2 linked regions of the Macaca mulatta genome follow. The protein of the gene in region 2 interacts with the protein of the main gene of each other region in a biochemical or structural test. Links are inferred from orthologs where the notes say so. Each region holds a gene or a part of one and is shown on either strand. Other genes may lie near its edges.

Region 1 (9,244 bases), on a different chromosome or scaffold from region 2:
GGAGGAAGCTCGTTCTGGTTCCTAGAGACCTGCTAGAATCAGAAGTTCTAGTCACAAGGGAGGGTGTCACTCACCAGCTGCCGCTGCTTGGGGGGTAGGGCGGGCGGCGGGGCCAGCTCCTGCACGGAGTCCACCCCGCTGAAGGAGTCGCTGAAGCCGTATACCTCCATGAGGAGCTTGTTCTTCTGCTGGTAGATGTGCTCGTTCTGCGGCGTCTGGTAGAACATGGAGGGCTGTGGCTCCGAGTAGTCCTCCAGCAGCTGCATGTAGGCCAGCACTGTGAAACGGAGGGACAGAGCTGCAGCAAGGCTGGGGGCTGCCACGTCAGGGAACCCCTCCCCGCATTCTTCCCACAGCAGCTAGGGGGCTTTCCACCGAAAGCACCTCAGGGAGGGACAAACAGGCGGAGCGCAGAGGCCTTTTCGGGCAGTGAAATCACACCCTGTCTGATGCGCTAATGGAGGAGACACGTCCAGACCGGCAGACGCGCAACACCGATGGGGAACCCTAATGCGAACTCAGGACTCAAGCGAGGGACTCAAGGGATGGCAAGTCTCAGCCACCTCCTGAGCAGGCACTTTCCCCTCGGGGCACGTCACAAGTGCCACGAGCACCTGCCAGGTGGAGCTGAGCTTCAGATACCAAGAAAAAGTGGTGGCTCTGCAGTGCTAAATTTTGTATCCTCAAATAAGCACAAAGCCAGAGGCTTTTCTGCAAACCCCAACTAGTCAACAAACCAAGGAAGGCCAGACACTGAGCTGAGGAAGACAGTCACAGAGGTAGGGAGTTTATTTCTTCCCTGAGCCGCTCTGGGGGTCCAGGTATAGAGGAAATGCTCTCTCTCCAGGAGTGTCACTGAAGGAAGGGGTTCAAAGTCACCTTCTTTATTTAAAAGATTATGTAAGAATTTCTTACTAGCTCCAACAAGCACAGAGCAGAACTTGGTTGGAAAAGATGCACAGGAAGAGATGGTTCCCCCCTGAGGTCAGCTGCTGCTACTGAAAGGGCAGCTCGCAGCCCCTTGAGCTTGTCTTTTTTTTTTTTTTTTTTTTTGAGACGAGTCTCGCTCTGTCACCCAGGCTGGAGTGCAGTGGCCGGATCTCAGCTCACTGCAAGCTCCGCCTCCCGGGTTTACGCCATTCTTCTGCCTCAGCCTCCCGAGTAGCTGGGACTACAGGCGCCTGCCACCTCGCCCGGCTAAGTTTTTGTATTTTTAGTAGAGACGGGGTTTCACTGTGTTAGCCAGAATGGTCTCGATCTCCTGACCTCGTGATCCGCCCGCCTCGGCCTCCCAAAGTGCTGGGATTACAGGCTTGAGCCACCGCGCCCGGCCGAGCTTGTCTTACACTTCCTTTTTTTTTTTTTCGAGACTGAGTTTCACTCTTGTCGCCCAGGCTGGAGTGTAATGGTGTGATCTCGGCTCACTGCAACCTCCACCTCGTGGGTTCAAGTGATCCTCCTGCCTCAGTCTCCCGAGTAGCTGGGATTACAGGCATGGACCACGACGTCCAGCTAATTTTTGTATTTTCAGTAGAGATAGGGTTGTGCCATGTTGGTCTGGCTGGTCTCAAACTCCTGACCTCAGGTGATCCACCTGGCTCGGTCTCCCAAAGTGATGGGATTACAGGTGTGAGCCACTGCGCCTAGCCCCACACTTCCTCTTTAATGCTGTGCAACCATCGTCACCAGGCTCCAGAGGAAGGGGCAAGCCTAGGAAGGTGATCCCAAGCACCCACAAACTGCTCCCTAAAAAGACTAAACGTGGCCGGGCACAGTGGCTCATGCCTATAATCCCAGTGCTTTGGGAGGCTGAGGCAGGAGGGTCACTTGAGGCTAGTTCGACACCAGCCTGGGCAACACAGTGAGACTCCCATCTCTAAAAAGAAAAAAGAAAAGATAAAACTTAGCAATGGTGGTATGTGCCTATGGTCCCAGCTATTCAAGAGGCTGAGGTGGGAGGATCCCTTGAACCGAGTTCAAGGCTGCAGTGAACTATGGAAAAAAGAAAAAGACTAAACACAACCACCTCTGCCTGACTTTTCTGTGAAACTGTGATCTCTTCAGGAGGTCTTTCTGAACTCTTGATGATGAAGCCCTTGTAGAGACCTGCTAGCCAAGCATAGGGAATAGCAGTGACATTCCCAGCCTTCTAGAAATGAGGAGGACCCAGTCCATTTCAAAAGCAGCCCAGTGGCAGCCCAGAGGCCAGGCAGCCAGCATTGCTGGGAAGGCTCAGCCGCCAGTGCTCAGGGCCTGGGACTGTGGGGATTTCAGGTGCCGGACAGTGATCACAAGGCTCGTCTGGTGCAAGGGACTCATGGGGTTGCCCCTGGCAAGAGGGGCTGGGGACCCTCATGGTATCAGTGCATCCCAAATGATGAGGATACGTCGTGACACTGGGACTGAGCGTGCGTGAACTCAGGCCAGTGTCAGCCACGCGGCCAGGGTGATGATTCTTTCCTTCTTTCCCTGAAAGCAATTTTGAGGCATTTTCCACAAGGTCACCTGAGGGTCCCCTCGGGGAGTGAAGAGCAGACTGGGGACTAGGACTGAGGCTCAGGGCACCTAAGTTTGGGGCTCTTTCACAGAGTATGGAGAAGACCACCCCCTGCATAGGGGTCAACACTGAAAACTGGATGGGATCTCAAGGAAGGAGGGCTGAATTCCTCCTTGGCTCGGGAGGAAGTGTAACAGGCTTGTACAACTCAGGTCAGGCTCTCAGTCCCAGATCCGTGCCCCACTTGCTTGTTGATCTTGGGCAATACTCAGTTCTTTTAAGCTCCAGTTTCTCTACCTATGAAATTGGAGCTAATAGGGCCTGCCTTGCAGGTGGCTGTCACGATGACCTTCGACAGGGCGTGTGAAGCTTTAGCTCAGGGCACGCCATGGCTGCAGCTCAGGAGTTTTTTAGAGGTTTGCAGGCTCCAGTACTGGAGACACTGATGAATGGGTTAAAGCCTCAAAATGGTAGCCTAAATTACTGGGGATTTTCAGCCACTTGAGACTGTTTGAAAGGAAACACTGGCTACCCCTCCCTTTCCTTCTCCCCTCTACAGACCCTGCATGAGGACCGCCGCCCACACTTGTTCTAGGAGCTGGAAGGGTAAGGCTCTCTGGCGTCTGCTGCAGTTTGTAAGGATGCCATCCTGCCCAGTGTCTGAGCTCAGAGGACCCCTCCCCTAGGGAAGGAAAGGGGGTGAGCTTGAGTGGCATGTAGCCCAAGATAACAGAGGTGAAGGGGGAGGCCAACAGCTCTTTAAACACTTGTCCATGCAGAGGGAGGGGAAGAGAAGGAAATGCTTCTGGCATTGCCATTGCACACCCCTCTGCGGAAGCCCTGGTTTCTGATGAGCGAATATACACGACAGATGGGGATGACATCATTAGTCCCACAGAGCCAGCCCTCCCTCTAGCTGGGGGACCACTGCTGAGGCCATCACACAAGCTGGGCAACACCCACCGAGGAGCTGGGGATACATGACACCATCTCAGCCGCAGCCTTCTGGAGACCACGCAGCCGGCCCTCAGGGCGATCCTTGCTGGACTGAACCAAGCCAGGTCTTCCCTTCTTTGAGAATGGGGCCCAGTTCTAAGCTGGGCTCAGATGCTCTCATTTGGGAATTTGGAGTAGAGATTCCATTTCTAGTTCACAGAAGTTCTCTGTTGGATATGTCAACTGAGGCCAGGGAAGCCTGGGGCTGTGGGGCTAACGTGACCACACACATTGAAACGGTGACAGCTGCGCTGCCAAGAAAATCGAAGCAGAACTATGCTAGTGAAGCGGGGAGAGGGCGGGGACAGAGGGGGCCAGGCAACTCCCAGAAGTGTGGGGCAGTTAGGGGAGCTAGGAGAAAACAGAATTTCCAGGAGAACTCTCCTTATTACTTTTATGGCAGATTTACAGTTGGAAAATATTCAAAACTTCAGCTCCACCCCTGGGCTCCAGTAACATCATATATTAAAATGTTTGGTCCAAGAAGTGTCCTCAATTACTCCTGCTGGGCAACCTCAGCTCCCACGTCATTCTGGGAGCATGAACAGAGACAGCGTGCTCTAGACAGGATCCTTAGACAATCACTCTGTGGACACTAGGTAAGTTCTGCTGAAATTCACATATCCACCTCGCTCTATGCAGATGTTGCTGCAATGCTGTCCTGCATGCCAGGACACTTGTTTCCCTCTGTCACTGTGATCAGGCCAGAAGGTCAACTGCTGCCATCTAAAGAGGAGAAGCCCTCGGGCTACGTGGAGAATCGGCCTGAGACTGTACGGAAACTATAAAGGAGAGATCAGCTGATCAGGCTTTAAAAACGATCACCTGTAATGAGAAAACCTGGCTCCCAGAAGTGTCGACATACCTGGCTGGCCTATCTTTTATGAAATAATGAGGCCACTGATTTGCTTCTGGTCTAATGCTGAAAGAAAACATACTGCCATTTCAGGTTATAAAACGCACTTCCTGACAACAGTGCAACAAAAGCTTACTGTGTTTGTTTTTCTTCTCTGGTAGAGGAGGTGGTTTTTCTGGGTCACCCGTTGATTCAGGAGCAGTAAAATCACCCACAAATTCGACAGGGGCTGAGGAACCTCCATGCTGAAAGGGGAGAATAGCAGCAAAGGGCGCATAGGGGACGGACTGGATTGGGGCCGTGCTCTGCAGGTCCTCCCCAGAGATGTTGTCGTACTGCGAGGGATGCCGCTCGTAGGACACCCTGCAGCCAGAGCTGTCCGCCGTCTGGGAGGCTGCACTCCTGCGCTTCTTCTCGGGGAGAGCAGGCGGCGTATCTGTCTGCTGCCCTGGGGCCAGAGGTCCGTCTGGCTGGGGATGGCTGCCAAGAGGCAGCTGGAAAGGATGGCCAACAAATGGAGACCCAGACTCCCCCAAAGACTCTGGCAACGGGCTAAGGTTCCAGGCCGTCTGCTGAGGTATCTGGTCTGCGTTAGAGAGGTCTTGCTGGAGGAATTCATAGTCGGGATCATAGTGGTCTGCAGTTACAACAGGGAAAAAAAAGACCCGTTAGCCAGAGGCCCTGCAGGAGCAGCCAGCCCCCGCTGCCCACCTCTTGCCGGCTTGCTCATGGGTGTGTGACAAAGACATGTCTCCAGGGTTTCGTTTATATTTACATGTTATATTCTTCATTCTTCTCCCTGATTATAAAAGCAAACCAGATGGGAATATGGCTGTTTGCTATACTTTTCTTATTTTTTACATTTCTTACTTAAAAAAAAAGAAAAATACACAACCATCACAGAAACCGTGGCAAATTACATCAAGAAAATAAAAATCACCCACAACCCCGTAATCTAACTGTATTTTCTATTTACATTTTGATGTATTTCCTTAAATGCCTCTTTTGCTTCTAGGATTCCTTTTTGAAAAAGCCCAACTGAGGGCTGCGTGGTGGCTCACGCCTGTAATTCCAGCACTTTGCAAGGCTGAGGCAGGCCGATCACTTCAGGTCAGGAGTTCAAGGCCAGCCTGGCCAATGTAGTGAAACCCTGTCTCTACTAAAAATACAAAAATTGGCTGGGCGCAGTGGCTCACGAATGTAATCCCAGCACTTATTGAGGCTGAAGTGGGCTGCTCACTTGAGGCCAGGAGTTCAAGACCAGCCTGGCCAATGTGATGAAACCATTTTCTCTACTAAAAATACAAAAATTGGCTGGGCACGGTGGCCCACGCCTGTAATCCCAGCACTTTGGGAGGCTGAGGCGGGCAGATCACCTGAGGTCAGGAGTTCAAGACCAGCCTGGCCAACATGGTGAAACCCCGCCTCTACTAAAAATACAAAAAAATTACCCGGACGTGGTGGTGCACACCTGTAGTCCCAGCCACTCGGGAGGCTGAGGCAGGAGAATCACTTGAACCTGGGAGGCGGAGGTTGCAGTAAGCCCAGATAATGTCACTGTACTCCAGCCTGGGGGACAGAGTGAGGCTCTGTCTCAAAAAAAAAATTGAGAATACTATGAAAATATGTAAATGGCCCTGTACTTTTTCCAGTTATCAATATATTATGAGCAATTTTTAATAGCTACAGATTATTCCAGCAAATGAATGTACCATCATTCACCTGATTTCCTACCAATGAAATCTTGCTATTAATCGCTGATTATGCTCCTAGGATACATTCTCAGAAGTGAAAATATCTAGTTCACAGGATACAAACAGCTTCCTGCTCTCTAAGCCCCCTGCCCGGCAGACGGGAGGGGCCCGCACAGCACACATTCAGCGCTGACTAAGGAGAAGGCTGGCTCGTGCGGCTCTTTCCCCTTCAGCCTCTGTCAAGTGTTGTCAGGACCCCCACCCCTTCATTTAAAGCTCTCAACACAAATGGCTCTTAATTTTGGTAAAGAGAGTCAAATTACCCACTGACAGATGAACTAACAACAGTTACCGCTTGAATATCTAGGCTGTGGTTTTACGTTGTGATTTCATTTACATGCTCAACTTCCTAGGGAGGCAGATACTGTTATCCTTATTTTGCAGATGAGGAAGCTGAGGCTCAGATTTTAAACAAGTGGGCCAAAGTCACGTAGTCAATGATCGCATGACCTGGGACTCCCACCCAGGACTGTATGGCCCCAGAGAAGCCACCAAGACAGGATGGAACAGGAGGATGCTGGCGGCTCACCTAGTGTTTCACAGCTTGTGTTCCGGGAGCACTGCCCACTGTCCCTGTCCAGAGAGGACAGCTGCTCGTCTGACTTGCTGAGCTTGCCTATGCTGCTGCAGGGGGAGAGGCGGGGCGACTCTCCACCATATGAGTGGCTGCCTCCTGACAGTCGTCTCTGTGCATAACAGTCAACGTCAAAATCCTTAAACGGAAAAAGAAAAACAAAGCCAAGTCACTTCTGAGAAACGGTGGCAGAGACCAGGGGTGAGGCAACCGGTGCATTTACTTAGAGAAGGAAATACTGCCAGGCAAACTCAAAAACCACCTCTGACGTCAGCAATTGAAGGACACATACAGCAGAGAAGCAGCCATCTGGAGTTGGTGGGGGGTGTGACCAGGGAGGGCTCTGGGGCTGGGCTCACCTATCCCCAGGAGACGCCCTTTGGCTCTGGCCTCCCTGCCCTGACCCTTATCCCCATATGGGAATTTGGATCATGTCCTGGAATGAGAGGCATGGGTACAAGGTCTCACACCCCTCGATGTGACAAAACACCAGTGACTGAAGACCATGGGTTTCAGCTTCAGGAGCAAATCCCGACCCCCCTCCCTGCCTTCCCAAGAAGCGAACACGAGCTGCATTACCTGCCTATTGATTCCAACAGGCAAACTGGAGCCACTGGTGGCTCGGCTCATGGGGGCCACCACAGCCACTCGGGTAGGGGACGGTGCCGACTGTCTTTTCTTGGGTGGCAATGCTGGTGGAGGACTGAAACAGACCGAAACGTCCAGGCAGACCAAACCACACTCACCAAAGCTCTTCAGCATGATATTGGGGTACAGGATGTGGGGCTCTTTCATTACTAGACTCTCCACACCCAGTGTTCACACTTCAACTGCTGCCTACTCCCCTCCGCCAAAATAAAACCTGTAAATACCAAATGAACGAAAAAGAACAACCCTTTCTTTTTCTTTCATAATAAATCATACCAGGTCTCCCTGGGCTGAGGGCACAAGGAGGCCTTCAGGAGAGCTCAGGGTGGCCAGGGAGGGCTGGGCGGGGGGGGGGGGGACAGCTCCAGAGTCAGCCTCCCAAGGGGGGCCAAGCCCCCAGCACTGAGGGGAAAGGGCCCGAGCCCTGCCTTCCTCCCTTTCTTGCTCATTCTGCCATGGGAGGCACTGGACAAACAGGAAGGTAGTTACCTATTATCAACCACCCGAATGCCAGGCAGAGGGGGCTTGGGGGGCGCGACCTCTTCATCTGTGGCATCTGGGAGGAGCTCAGTTGACTGTGACATCCCGGTCGTCTTGTTTAGGATTTCTACCTCGCGGTCTGTCAGGGGGAGCTCTGCTGGGCTGCAGAATTGGGAAGAACTTGGGGTTACAGAAGGTCAAAGACGGGACGAGCACATACAGGCCCTGAGAGGGTGAGGATGTGACTGGGTAGAACATGGTGGGTGAGGTGGGGCTGAGGAGCAGGCTCCCTGGATACAGAGCTCTGGGGTTCTGGTTTGGTTGCTAAGGAGCTACTGGAGCTTGGCTGTGCCCCCAACTTTGCACCTCAGTTTCCTTATCTGAAGATGATCTAAGGGCTCTCTAAAATGCTCCAGGCCGGGCACAGTGGCTCACACCTATAATCCCAGCACTTCGGGAGGCCAAGGTGGCGGATCACTTGAGGTTAGGAGTTTGAGACCAGCTTGGCCAACATGGTGAAACCCTGTCTCTACTAAAAATACAAAAATTAGCCGGGCGTGGTGGCGTGCACCTGTAGTCCCAGCTACTTGAAAGGCTGAGGCAAGAGAATCGCTCTAACCTGAGAGGAGGTTGCAATGAGCCCAGATCGTACCACCGCATCCCAGCCTAAGCAACAGAGACTCTGTCTCAAAAACAAAACAAAAGCTCCAAATTTATGTTTTATATTTTTACCAGGAGCTTAGAGTAGAGATGAATATAAACCCTTACAACCATCGATGTCATCCTCAGTTTACTCTGGATCAAGCAAGAGTGCACTCAAGTCAAAGTCCCCAAACCCAAGCCCTTAAAAGTTCTTTGTAATTATGAAACGAAGTTGCCCAGGAAAAGCACTGGTATGTGTCACTGGATGCGCTCACACATGATCCTTGGAAACAGTCACACTGAAGAGTAAACTTGAGATGGGCAATACTTCAAGCCTGTGTGAAATATACACACAATGCTAACCACTGAAAAAGCAATATGGGCCTCCAGCAGCCCACCTTCATGCTGCCCACCCCCCAGGCCCTATCCTTGTCAAATGTAGAGACTTTGCCACTGAGTGTGACCCCTGCGACAGGAGGGTTAGTCAGCACCTACCCATCAGGCTTGCCAGCAGGGGAACTGGGCTTCACGGGGCTCGTCGGAGATGGACGTCCCTGCTTCTCGACGGTGAGCCTGACCAGCTCCTACCCCACAAGAAAAAGGCAATGAGCAAAGCTCCCGTCACCACTGAGTTTCCACAAGAAGGCAGGCAGGTGCTGTCTGTCCTCTGCTGCTGGGTCTCATTTCTGTGCCTACAGATTCTCCATGCGCCATAAACGCAAGAATCACTCGCCTTAGGTAATCTGCATGACTTCCCAAATGTCCCCGGTCCTCCAAAAATACCTTCATGGCATGTC
Region 2 (9,977 bases):
GAAACGTCGCCTAAGCAAGGAGGTCACTTTCTTCGTAGGGCAGGTCTCAGGCTTATCAGAGGGCGAAAGCCACCATTGTAGCTGCAAATCCGTACGTTTGAAGGGGATGGAGGAGGATGAGAAAAGAAAGGAGAGAGGGGTGGGCTTGCGCGCTCATTGTCCCAAGGGTCACTCCCGTTCCCATGCTGTTGGAGTCTGAAGTTTTGGATTCTCCTGGGTCTACAAGGAGGGAAGACACGCTTGAGTGGCGGCTGATGGCTGGGTCTTCCCTTCTTGCTTATTATTATTTTTTTTTTTTTGAGACGGAGTCTTGCTCAGTCGCCCAGGCTGGAGTGGTGCGGTGGCACGATCTTGGCTCACTGCAAGCTCCGCCTCCCGGGTTCTCGCCATTCTCCTGCCTCAGCCTCCCCAGTAGCTGGGACTACAGGCGCCCGCCACCACACCCGGCTAGTTTTTTGTATTTTTAGTAGAGACGGGATTTCACCGTGTTAGCCAGGATGGTCTCGATCTCCTGACCTCATGATCCGCCCGTCTCGGCCTCCCAAAGTGCTGGGATTACAGGCGTGAGCCACCGCGCCCGGCCACTTATCTCTTTATTTTCCAGCTTAGTTATGATTTCTTCCTCCTCCTCCTTTTTTTTTTTTCCCCTTGAGACACAGTCTTTCTCTGTCCCCCAGGCTGAAGTGCAGTGGCACGATCTTGGCTCACTGCAACCTCCGCCTCCTGGGTTCAAGCGATTCTCCTGCCTCAGCCTCCCTAGTAGCTGGGATCACAGGTGCCCGCCACGCCTGGCTAATTTTTGTATTTTTGATAGAAATGGTGTTTACCCAGTTGGCCAGACTGGTCTCAAACTCCTGACTTCAAGTGATTCACCCACCTTTGCTTCCCAAAGTACTGGCCTATTCTCCTTAAAAAAAAATTCTTTTTCTTTTTCGGTTGGGCACAGTGGCTCATGCCTGTAATCCCAGCACTTTGGGAGGCTGAGGCAGGCGAATCATCTGAGGTCGGGAGTTCGAGATCAGCCTGACCAACATGAAGAAACCCCGTCTCTACTAAAAATACAAAAAATTATACGGGCATGGTGGTGCATGCCTGTAATTCCAGCTACTCGGGAGGCTGAGGCAGGAGAATCTCTTGAACTCAGGAGGCGGAGGTTGCGGTGAGCTGAGATCGTGCCATTGCACTCCAGCCTGGGCAACAGGAGCGAAACTCTGTCCCGAAAAACCAAAAAAAAATCTTTTTCTTGTAATTTCCATGTGCCCTAGGGAGGGATCTTAGAGGGACTGCTTTGGAACAGGCGGTCTCTGGGTCAGGTCCAGAGCTCACAGACCGGCCAGAATTCACACTGGCATGGCTGCTTCTGCTGGTTCACAGTGCCAGGCTGTGACTAAGCCAGGGTCACGATGAGTCACCTACAGCAGGAAAAGTGCCCTTGTCCCTCCCAGGCCCCCACCCCCACTTCCCCAGAGCAGGCCTAAGGGTGTGTAGGTGAGTCCAGAAGGGCTGTGTTATCCATTAGACCAGAATCCACAGCTGCTTTTTTTTTTTTTTTTTTTTTGAGACAGAGTCTCACTCTGTCACCCAGGCTGGAGTGCAGTGGCGCAATCTGGGATCACTGCAAGCTCTGCCTCCTGGGTTCACGCTATTCTCCTGCCTCAGCCTCAGGAGTAGCTGGGACTACAGGCACCGCCACCACGCCCGGCTCATTTTTTGTATTTTTAGTAGAGACGGGGTTTCACCGTGTTGGCCAGGATGGTCTCGATCTCCTGACCTTGTGATCCGCCCGCCTCGGCCTCCCAAATTGCTGGGATTACAGGCGTGAGCCACTGCGCCCTGCCTGACTGCTTTTTTTTTTTGAGATGGAGCCTCGCTCTGTCGCCCAGGCTGGAGTGCAGTGGCCGGATCTCGGCTCACTGCAAGCTCCGCCTCCCGGGTTCACGCCATTCTCCTGCCTCAGCCTCCTGAGTAGCTGGGACTACAGGCGCCCGACACCTCGCCTGGCTCGTTTTTTGTATTTTTTAGTAGAGACGGGGTTTCACCGTATTAGCCAGGATGGTCTCGATCTCCTGACCTCGTGATCCGCCCGTCTCGGCCTCCCAAAGTGCTGGGATTACAGGCTTGAGCCACCGCGCCCGGCCTGCTTTTTTAAAATGTAGATTCCTGCCACCCCTTCCTCCCACTTCCTATCTCAGAAATTTGAGGGTACAGCAGAGTGACCATGCTGTCTCTCCTTCCAGGATTTGAACCCTAGCTCCTCACTGTGCCAACGTGTATCTCTGTACACGTTACTTAAACTCTCTGAGCTTCAGTTTTCTCTTCTGTATGATGGGGATACTTGTCAAAGAAGGTGGTTGAGAGGATTAAATGAGATGATGCGTATGAAGGCAGTCAGCACAGTGCCTGGCAGACGGTCATCTCTGAATAAATGTTAGTGGTCCTGAAACGCTTATGGAGTACCTCGTAGACTAGCTGCTTGGACTTTAAGGACATACACAGAACTACAAATGAAAAATTACAGGCCGGGCGCGGTGGCTCACGCCTGTAATCCCAGCACTTTGGGAGGCCGAGGCGGGCGGATCACAAGGTCAGGAGATCGAGACCACGGTGAAACCCCGTCTCTACTAAAAATACAAAAAAAAAAATTAGCCGGGCGCGGTTGTGGGCGCCTGTAGTCCCAGCTACTCGGGAGGCTGAGGCAGGAGAATGGCGTGAACCCGGGAGGCGGAGCTTGCAGTGAGCCGAGATCGCGCCGCTGCACTCCAGCCTGGGTGACAGAGCGAGACTCCGTCTCAAAAAAAAAAAAAAAAAAAAAAAGAAAAATTACAGTAAAATGGGTAAGAGCTGTCATGGGAATAATTTGGACGTATTGCTGTTGATGGAGAGGGAGTGATAGGGTGGTTAAGAAAGGGGAGACATTCGGGCCGGGCGCAGTGGCTCACGCCTGTAATCCCAGCAATTTGGGAGGCCAAGGAGGGCGGATCACGATGTCAGCAGATGGAGACCATCCTAGCCAACACGGTGAAACCCCATCTCTACTAAAAAAAAAAAAATACAAAAAATATTAGCCGGGCATGGTGGCGGGCGCCTGTAGTCCCAGCTATTGGGGAGGCTGAGGCAGGAGAATGGCGTGAACCCAGGAGGTGGAGCTTGCAGTGAGCCAAGATGGCACCACTGCACTCCAGCCTGGGTGACAGAGCGAGACTCCATCTCAAAAAACAAAAACAAAAAGAAAGGGAAGACATTTGAATTTGAGACTCCAAAGTGGGTAGAAGAGCATTCCAGGCCAGGCACAGTGGCTCTTGCCTGTAATCCCAGCACTCTGGGAGGCCGAGGTGGGCGGATCACGAGGTCGGGAGATGGAGACCATCCTGGCTAACACGGTGAAACCTCGTCTCGACCAAAAATACGAACATTATTAGCTGGGCGTGGTGGCAGGCGCCTGTAGTCCCAGCTACTTGGGAGGCTAAGGCAGGGAGAATCACTTGAACCCGGGAGGTGGCGGTTGCAGTGAGCTGTGATCGCACCACTGCACTCCAGCCTGGGCGTCAGAGCAAGAATCCATCTGAAAAAAAAAGAGAGACTATGGCTCAATTTTATGCTCTGAGCTAACCTGGGAGTTTGAACACCTGAAGACTGTTAAACGTTTTACACAAGGTAGCAACACATTCAGATTTGTATACATATATACTTTTTTGAGACAGGATCTCCCTCTGTCGCCCAGGCTGGAGTGTAATGGTGGGATCTCAGCTCACTGCAACCTCTGTCTCCCGGGTTCGAGCGATTCTCCTGCCTCATCTTCCTGAGTAGCTGGGATTACAGGCAGCCACTATCACGCCCAGCTAATTTTTGTATTAGTTGAGACGCGGTTTCACCATATTGGTCAGCCTGGTCTAGAACTCCTGACCTCAGGTGATCCGCCTGCCTCAGCCTCCCAAAGTGTTGGGATTACAGGCGTGAGCCACCGTGCCCGGCCAGATCTGTATTTTAGAAAACTCAGTGGGAGCTGTTTGCAGTGCAATTAGAGGCAACCAGACGAAAGGGCACCAGCGAGCAAGCCACTCATAGGAACACAGTCCAGAGTGACCATGACGGCAGTGAAAGTAGGAGATGCCCCTGGCTACAATTTAGTGTTTAGAAGTATCTGGGAAGGTGACCCGAAAGCCTCAAAAGAGAGGAGAACTCTGTACTTCACGTGGCTTGGCACACTCTGCTCCCTTTGCTTTGAATGTCCTTCCCCTTTTGTCATTCAGCAGTCAACACATGCTACCTCCTCTGGGAAGCCCTCTTGGATTACTCCGCAGACTGGATGGAGGGGGGCTCTGCTCTGTGTTCATGTCCGTTTCCCATGATAGCGCTTGTCAGCATTTGTCATCCTTTTGTCATGCAGTTTCCTGGTTCCTCTCACTGGTGTGTGAGTTTGAGGAGTGCAGGGCCCAGCCTCCATCACCTTTGCACCCGCAGTGCAGGTGGAGTGTCAATAACAATGTCCTGAATGAATCAATGAAAATGAGAACGTCAGCCGGCCTGTGGAGAAGCTAGAGGAACGAGAAGAAACAGACCGACATGGCCGGGAGCGATGTTTCTCGCCTGTAATCCCAGCACTTTGGGAGACCAAGGCGGGTGGATCACCCGAGGTCAGGAGTTCGAGACCAGCCTGGCCAACATGGTGAAACCCCCGTCTCTACTAAAAATACAAAAATTAGCCAGGCGTGGTGGCGCTCGCCTGTAATCCCAGCTACTTGGGAGGCGGAGGCAGGAGAATCGCTTGAACGCGGGAGGCGGAGGTTGCGGTGAGCCGAGATCGCGGCACTGCACTCCAGCCTGGGCGACAGACACACCGTCTGAAAAAACAAAAAAAGAAAAAGAAAAGAGAAACAGACTGATATCCCAGGAAGCCTGGCCGAGAACTGAGGCCCCAGGGCCACACGCGTCTTTTCTCCTGCAATCCTGTCTGGGAGCCGCCGCCTAGAAGTCCCGGGCCGTCCGGGAACGCGAGCCTGAAGCAGCACCGCGCTGTCGGCGGCGCAGGCGCACGTCTCTGCGGGAGGCTGCGAGGCCCCGCCCCCGGGCCCTAGACCCCGCCTCCCATCCCCCTCATCCCCGGGCCGGGCAGGGCGGCACCGCCCATGAGGCCGCATGCGCAGTGCGCGCGCGAGGGCGCCTTGCCCTTCTCCCAATGGCGGGCCGCGGGCCCCTTCCCGGCAGCCTCCCTCGGGCAGGGAGCGCGTCATTTCCGGTGGGGAAGGCCCGCGGCTGCCGCCGCCATTTCGGGCGCTGCTGTGAAGCTGAAACCGGAGCCGGTCCGCTGGGCGGCGGGCGCCGGGGGCCGGAGCGGCGCGCGCGGCGGCGGCACCCCAGCGTTTAGGCGCGGAGGCAGCCATGGCGGGCAACTTCGACTCGGAGGAGCGGAGTAGCTGGTACTGGGGGCGGTTGAGTCGGCAGGAGGCGGTGGCGCTGCTGCAGGGCCAGCGGCACGGGGTGTTCCTGGTGCGGGACTCGAGCACCAGCCCCGGGGACTATGTGCTCAGCGTCTCAGAGAACTCGCGCGTCTCCCACTACATCATCAACAGCAGCGGCCCGCGCCCGCCAGTGCCGCCGTCGCCCGCCCAACCTCCGCCGGGTGAGGGACTGACGGGACGGGGGGCCCTGGGCGGGGTGAGGGCCGCGGAGCTCCCAGCCCGGCTGGCTGCTCCTCGAGAGCGGACCCTCGGGGTCGTGGGCAGAGGGCTGGGTGACCGTGGCAGGGGCCCGCCGGCTGCTGGGGCTCATTCCCACCCGGGGAACAGGAGTGTGGGGGAGGAGGAGCCGCGGACCGAGGCCCCGGGGTGTGCCTGGGAAGGGCAGCCCCGGGGAAGGGGAACTGCTTCGGCCCCAGGGTGGGGCTGGCTCCCGGGCCAGGCGCAAGGGTAGGGCAGGGCAAGGCAACGTGGGGACAAAGAGCTGAGGGAGATGTTGGCACTGCGGGGGCATCACTTGGCAGCGGCGCCCAGAATGAATCCGATAATCCTACAAGTGGCTTTTGGGCTGGAAGCGTTTCCTGCCGTGTTGGAGAGCCGGGTTTGGCCGTGCTCCCCTGGTGGCCTTTGGTAGGAAGTCACCACAAACTGGCCGGGAGGGATGGAGACACCCTCAGGAAACCGGTTAGTTTTTTCCTTTCTTGGGCATTTTTCCAAAATCCTTGTACCGTCCTCTTCCCCCGTGGAGGACGAAGGTGGTGAATTAAGTGATAGAAGAAAGCCTTCAGTGACCAGCCCAACCCAGTTTAAGGCGATGCCTGGCTGCGTGCAGGAGATCTAAGCGTCCAGAAGACTGTCCGCCGGTAGAGGGTTCTGGTTTTCAAAGTGTTTAGTGGAGGAAAGACATTTTATTCCAGAGAATAAACCAGAAATGAGGCAGTGGAAACAGACCCTTCCCTGGATGTGACTGGAGCTTCATTTTCCTTGGACTTACACATTGTCAGTGTGTACTTCAGGGCGTGACCTTGCTCAGTAAGATGGGGCTGCGGGCTGAGTCTTCCTGGATGGTGGGAACAGACTCTACGCCAAGAACATAAATTACCTGCGCTGGGTTTTTCTTGCCAGGGATCCCTGAGATTGACTGTCTTTCCGATGCCGTTGGAGTTGATTTGGGAGTGTTTCAAGGGAATAGATAGATGCCCTTAGTACTGGAGATTTGTGAGGTACGAAGTAATTCTGGGGTTCTCATTGTATGTGTACCTGTTTAACAGCATCAGGAGTCCTCGTGCCTTCACACTGTTGCCAAGTCGAAGCTGTTTCTTCTTGGCCGCTGAGACTGGGTTCAGACTAGTCTCCTATGAATCAGGAAGCTCCTGAGCCATCCTCTGTAGACTTTCTCTTGTAGGATCGTTCTAATTTAGATTTACTTGTTCCGGCCAGAAATGGAGAATTGAATAGCCAGTCTCTTTGTTATTAACACATACCAATTTTTATTTTACTTTTTCCTGAGACGGAGTCTCGCTCTGTCGCCCATGCTGGAGCTCAGTAGCGCGATCTCGGCTCATGGCCACCTCCACCTCCCCGGGGCTCCCGGGTTCAAGATTCTCCTGCCTCAGTCTCCCGAGTAGCTGGGATTACAGGCACCCACCACCACAACCAGCTAATGTTGTATTTCTAGTGGAGACAAGATTTCACCAGATTGGCCAGGCTGCTCTCAAACTCCTGACCTCAGGTGATCCACCCTCCCAAAATGCTGGGATTACAGGTATGAGCCACCGTGCCTGGCCAACACATAACCAATTTTTTTCTTATTTTATTTATTTATTTATTATTTATTTATTTTGAGACAGAGTCTCTCTCTGTCACCCAAGCTGGAGTGCAGTGGCGCCATCTTGGCTCACTGCAACCTCCGCCTTTTGGGTTCAAGTGATTCTCCTGCCTCAGCCTCCTAAGTAGCTGGGATTACCAGTGCCTGTCACCACGCCCAGCTAATTTTTGTATTTTTAGTAGAGATGGGGTTTTACCAGGTTGACCAGGTGGGTCTTGAACTCCTGACCTCAGGTAATCCACTCGCCTTTGCCCCCTCAAAGTGCTGGGATTACGGGTGTGAGCCACTGCACCCAGCTTTGTTTGTTTGAGGCGGAGTTTCACTTTTGTTGCCCAGGCTGGAGTTCAGTGGTGTGATCTCAGCTCACTGCAATCTCTACGTCGTGGGTTCAAAGGATTCTCTTGCTTCAGCCTCCCTAGTAGCTGGGATTACAGGCACACGCCACCATGCCTGGCTAGTTTTTGTATTTTTAGTAGAGATGGGGTTTCACCATGTTGACCAGGCTGGTCTCGAACTCCTGACCTCAGGTGATCCGCCCGCCTCAGCCTCCCAAAGTGCTGGGATTACAGGTGTGAGCCACCACACCCAGCCCAACACATAACTATTTTTAGAAAATGAGTATGGGGTCTATAAGTTCACAAATTATTGTAGATCTTTCTCATTCTGGCCAGTTTAATGGTGTTATGAGATGGGAATATTGATGTACCTGTGTTGGCCCTGAACCAGATATATGCTACTTTGATGCCACCTGCATGGTATCTGGGGTTTTGCATTATATGTAGTAACATGATGGCAAACTGTTATTGAAACTCACTTTTCAGCCTTTTGTTTGTGTTTGTTGGTTGCCAGAGTTGAAAATGGCAGCCGGCAGGTTTGTTAGCTTGATATTTTTTCACATCTTAGCATAACGATTTTTATATCTCAAGCCTTACTTGGATAATGGAGCACCACCTTTTCAAAACAGATAAGAACTCAGTTCCTTGGCCCAGGAAAGAAGGTGAAGATTGCCAAAGTTTGTGGATGGGGTGTGGAATATTCACGAGTATTGTGATAATTCTGCCATATTGTACCCCATTTTCTACGATTCAGTTGCTGTTTTTTCTCTCTTCTGAGACAGGGCCTTTGTCTCTCAAGCTGGAGTGCAGTGGCATGAACACAGCTCACTGCAGCCTTGACCTCCCGGGCTCAAGCCATCCTCCCACTTTAGCCTCCTGAGCAGCTGGGACTACAGGCATATCCACCATGCCTGGTTAACTGTTTAACATTTTTTTGTGGAGATGAGGGGTTTCACTGTGTTGTCCAGGCTAGTCTCAAATTCTTGGTCTCAAGAGATCCTCCCGCTTCAGACTCCCAAAGTGCTGGAATTGCAGGTGTGAGCCACTGTGCCTGGCTCAGTTGCTGTCTTGTTTGTTTGTTTGTTTTTTGAGGCAGAGTTTTTTTTTGTTTGTTTTTTTTTTTGAGACGGAGTCTCGCTCTGTCGCCCAGGCTGGAGTGCAGTGGCCGGATCTCAGCTCACTGCAAGCTCCGCCTCCCGGGTTCATGCCGTTCTCCTGCCTCATCCTCCCGAGTAGCTGGGACTACAGGCGCCCGCCACCGCGCCCGGCTAGTTTTTTGTATTTTTTAGCAGAGACGGGGTTTCACTGTGTTAGCCAGGATGGTCTCGATCTCCTGACCTCGTGATCCGCCCGTCTCGGCCTCCCAAAGTGCTGGGATTACAGGCTTGAGCCACCGCGCCCGGCCGAGGCAGAGTTTTTAACTCTTGTCTCCCACACCAGAGTGCAATGGCGTGATACTGACTCACTGCAACCTCCGTCTCCCAGGTTCAAACAATTCTCCTGCCTCACCCTCCTGAGTAGCTGGAATTACAGAGGCCCACCACCATGGTCAGCTAATTTTTGTATTTTTTAGTAGAGATGGGGTTTCGCCATGTTGGCCAGGCTGGTCTGGAACTCCTGAACTCTGATGATCCACCCGCCTCGGCCTCCCAAAGTGCTGGGCCTGAGCCACCGCACCCGGCCTGTCTGTATAACCTCAGAATTACTTTGTACCTCAAGTGCTAAGTGCTTTGTACCTCAAATCTCAAGTGCTAAGTACTGAATCTTTGTTCTCCCCCTCACCAAGTCCTTTTGAAGTCACACAGAGAAATTTCTTGAATTTTAAAGAGGCGTATACAATATTAATAACTAATGTTTATTGACTGGTTATTCTGTGCCAGGTACTTTGCTTGAGTACTTTATGTGCCTTATTTCACCTGCTGTCTAGGACAGTCTGGTGAGATAAGTAATATGATCTCCTTTTATTAAAATATTCCCATTTTATACAGGAGGAAACACTCAGATTCAGTAACTTGCTTAAGGTCACACAGCTAGTAAATGACTTTCCAAAGTTGAACCTAGGCATTCTGACCTGAGAACTGACCCTTTTATGCTACACTTGTCAGAACCAGCGTCCTTTTGGGATCTCAGCAATGCATGTGGAGGTCTGTATCCTCCATATCCTCAGTACTTTGTTTTGTTTTTTTGGATGGAGTTTCGCTCTTGTTGTCCCCCAGGCTACTAGAGTGCAGTGGTGCAGTCTCGGCTCACTGAAACCTCCCCTTCCCTGGGTCAAGTGATTCTCCTTCCTCAGCCTCCTGAGTAGCTAGGATTACAGGCATGCGCCACCATGCCCGGCTAATTTTTTTTTTTTTTTGT

Evidence for each region.
Region 1: the proteins of CRK (region 2) and RAPGEF1 form a complex in vitro, tested with the Homo sapiens proteins (4 studies listed by BioGRID, with this or other methods). The link is inferred for Macaca mulatta from reciprocal best matches to the Homo sapiens genes CRK and RAPGEF1.

What each region holds. Positions count from the first base shown.
Region 1 is NC_133420.1:15,873,782-15,883,025, reverse strand, and holds part of RAPGEF1 (rap guanine nucleotide exchange factor 1), read right to left. Parts: intron 9,032-9,244; coding exon 8,943-9,031; intron 7,968-8,942; coding exon 7,815-7,967; intron 7,381-7,814; coding exon 7,257-7,380; intron 6,817-7,256; coding exon 6,633-6,816; intron 4,987-6,632; coding exon 4,486-4,986; intron 3,504-4,485; exon of another isoform or gene 2,526-3,503; intron 2,358-2,525; exon of another isoform or gene 2,275-2,357; intron 1,775-2,274; exon of another isoform or gene 1,608-1,774; intron 278-1,607; coding exon 75-277; intron 1-74. UniProt on the Homo sapiens protein: Guanine nucleotide-releasing protein that binds to SH3 domain of CRK and GRB2/ASH. Transduces signals from CRK to activate RAS. Involved in cell branching and adhesion mediated by BCAR1-CRK-RAPGEF1 signaling and activation of RAP1.
Region 2 is NC_133421.1:2,999,237-3,009,213, reverse strand, and holds the start of CRK (adapter molecule crk), read left to right. Parts: upstream 1-5,264; 5' UTR 5,265-5,379; coding exon 5,380-5,620; intron 5,621-9,977. UniProt on the Homo sapiens protein: Involved in cell branching and adhesion mediated by BCAR1-CRK-RAPGEF1 signaling and activation of RAP1.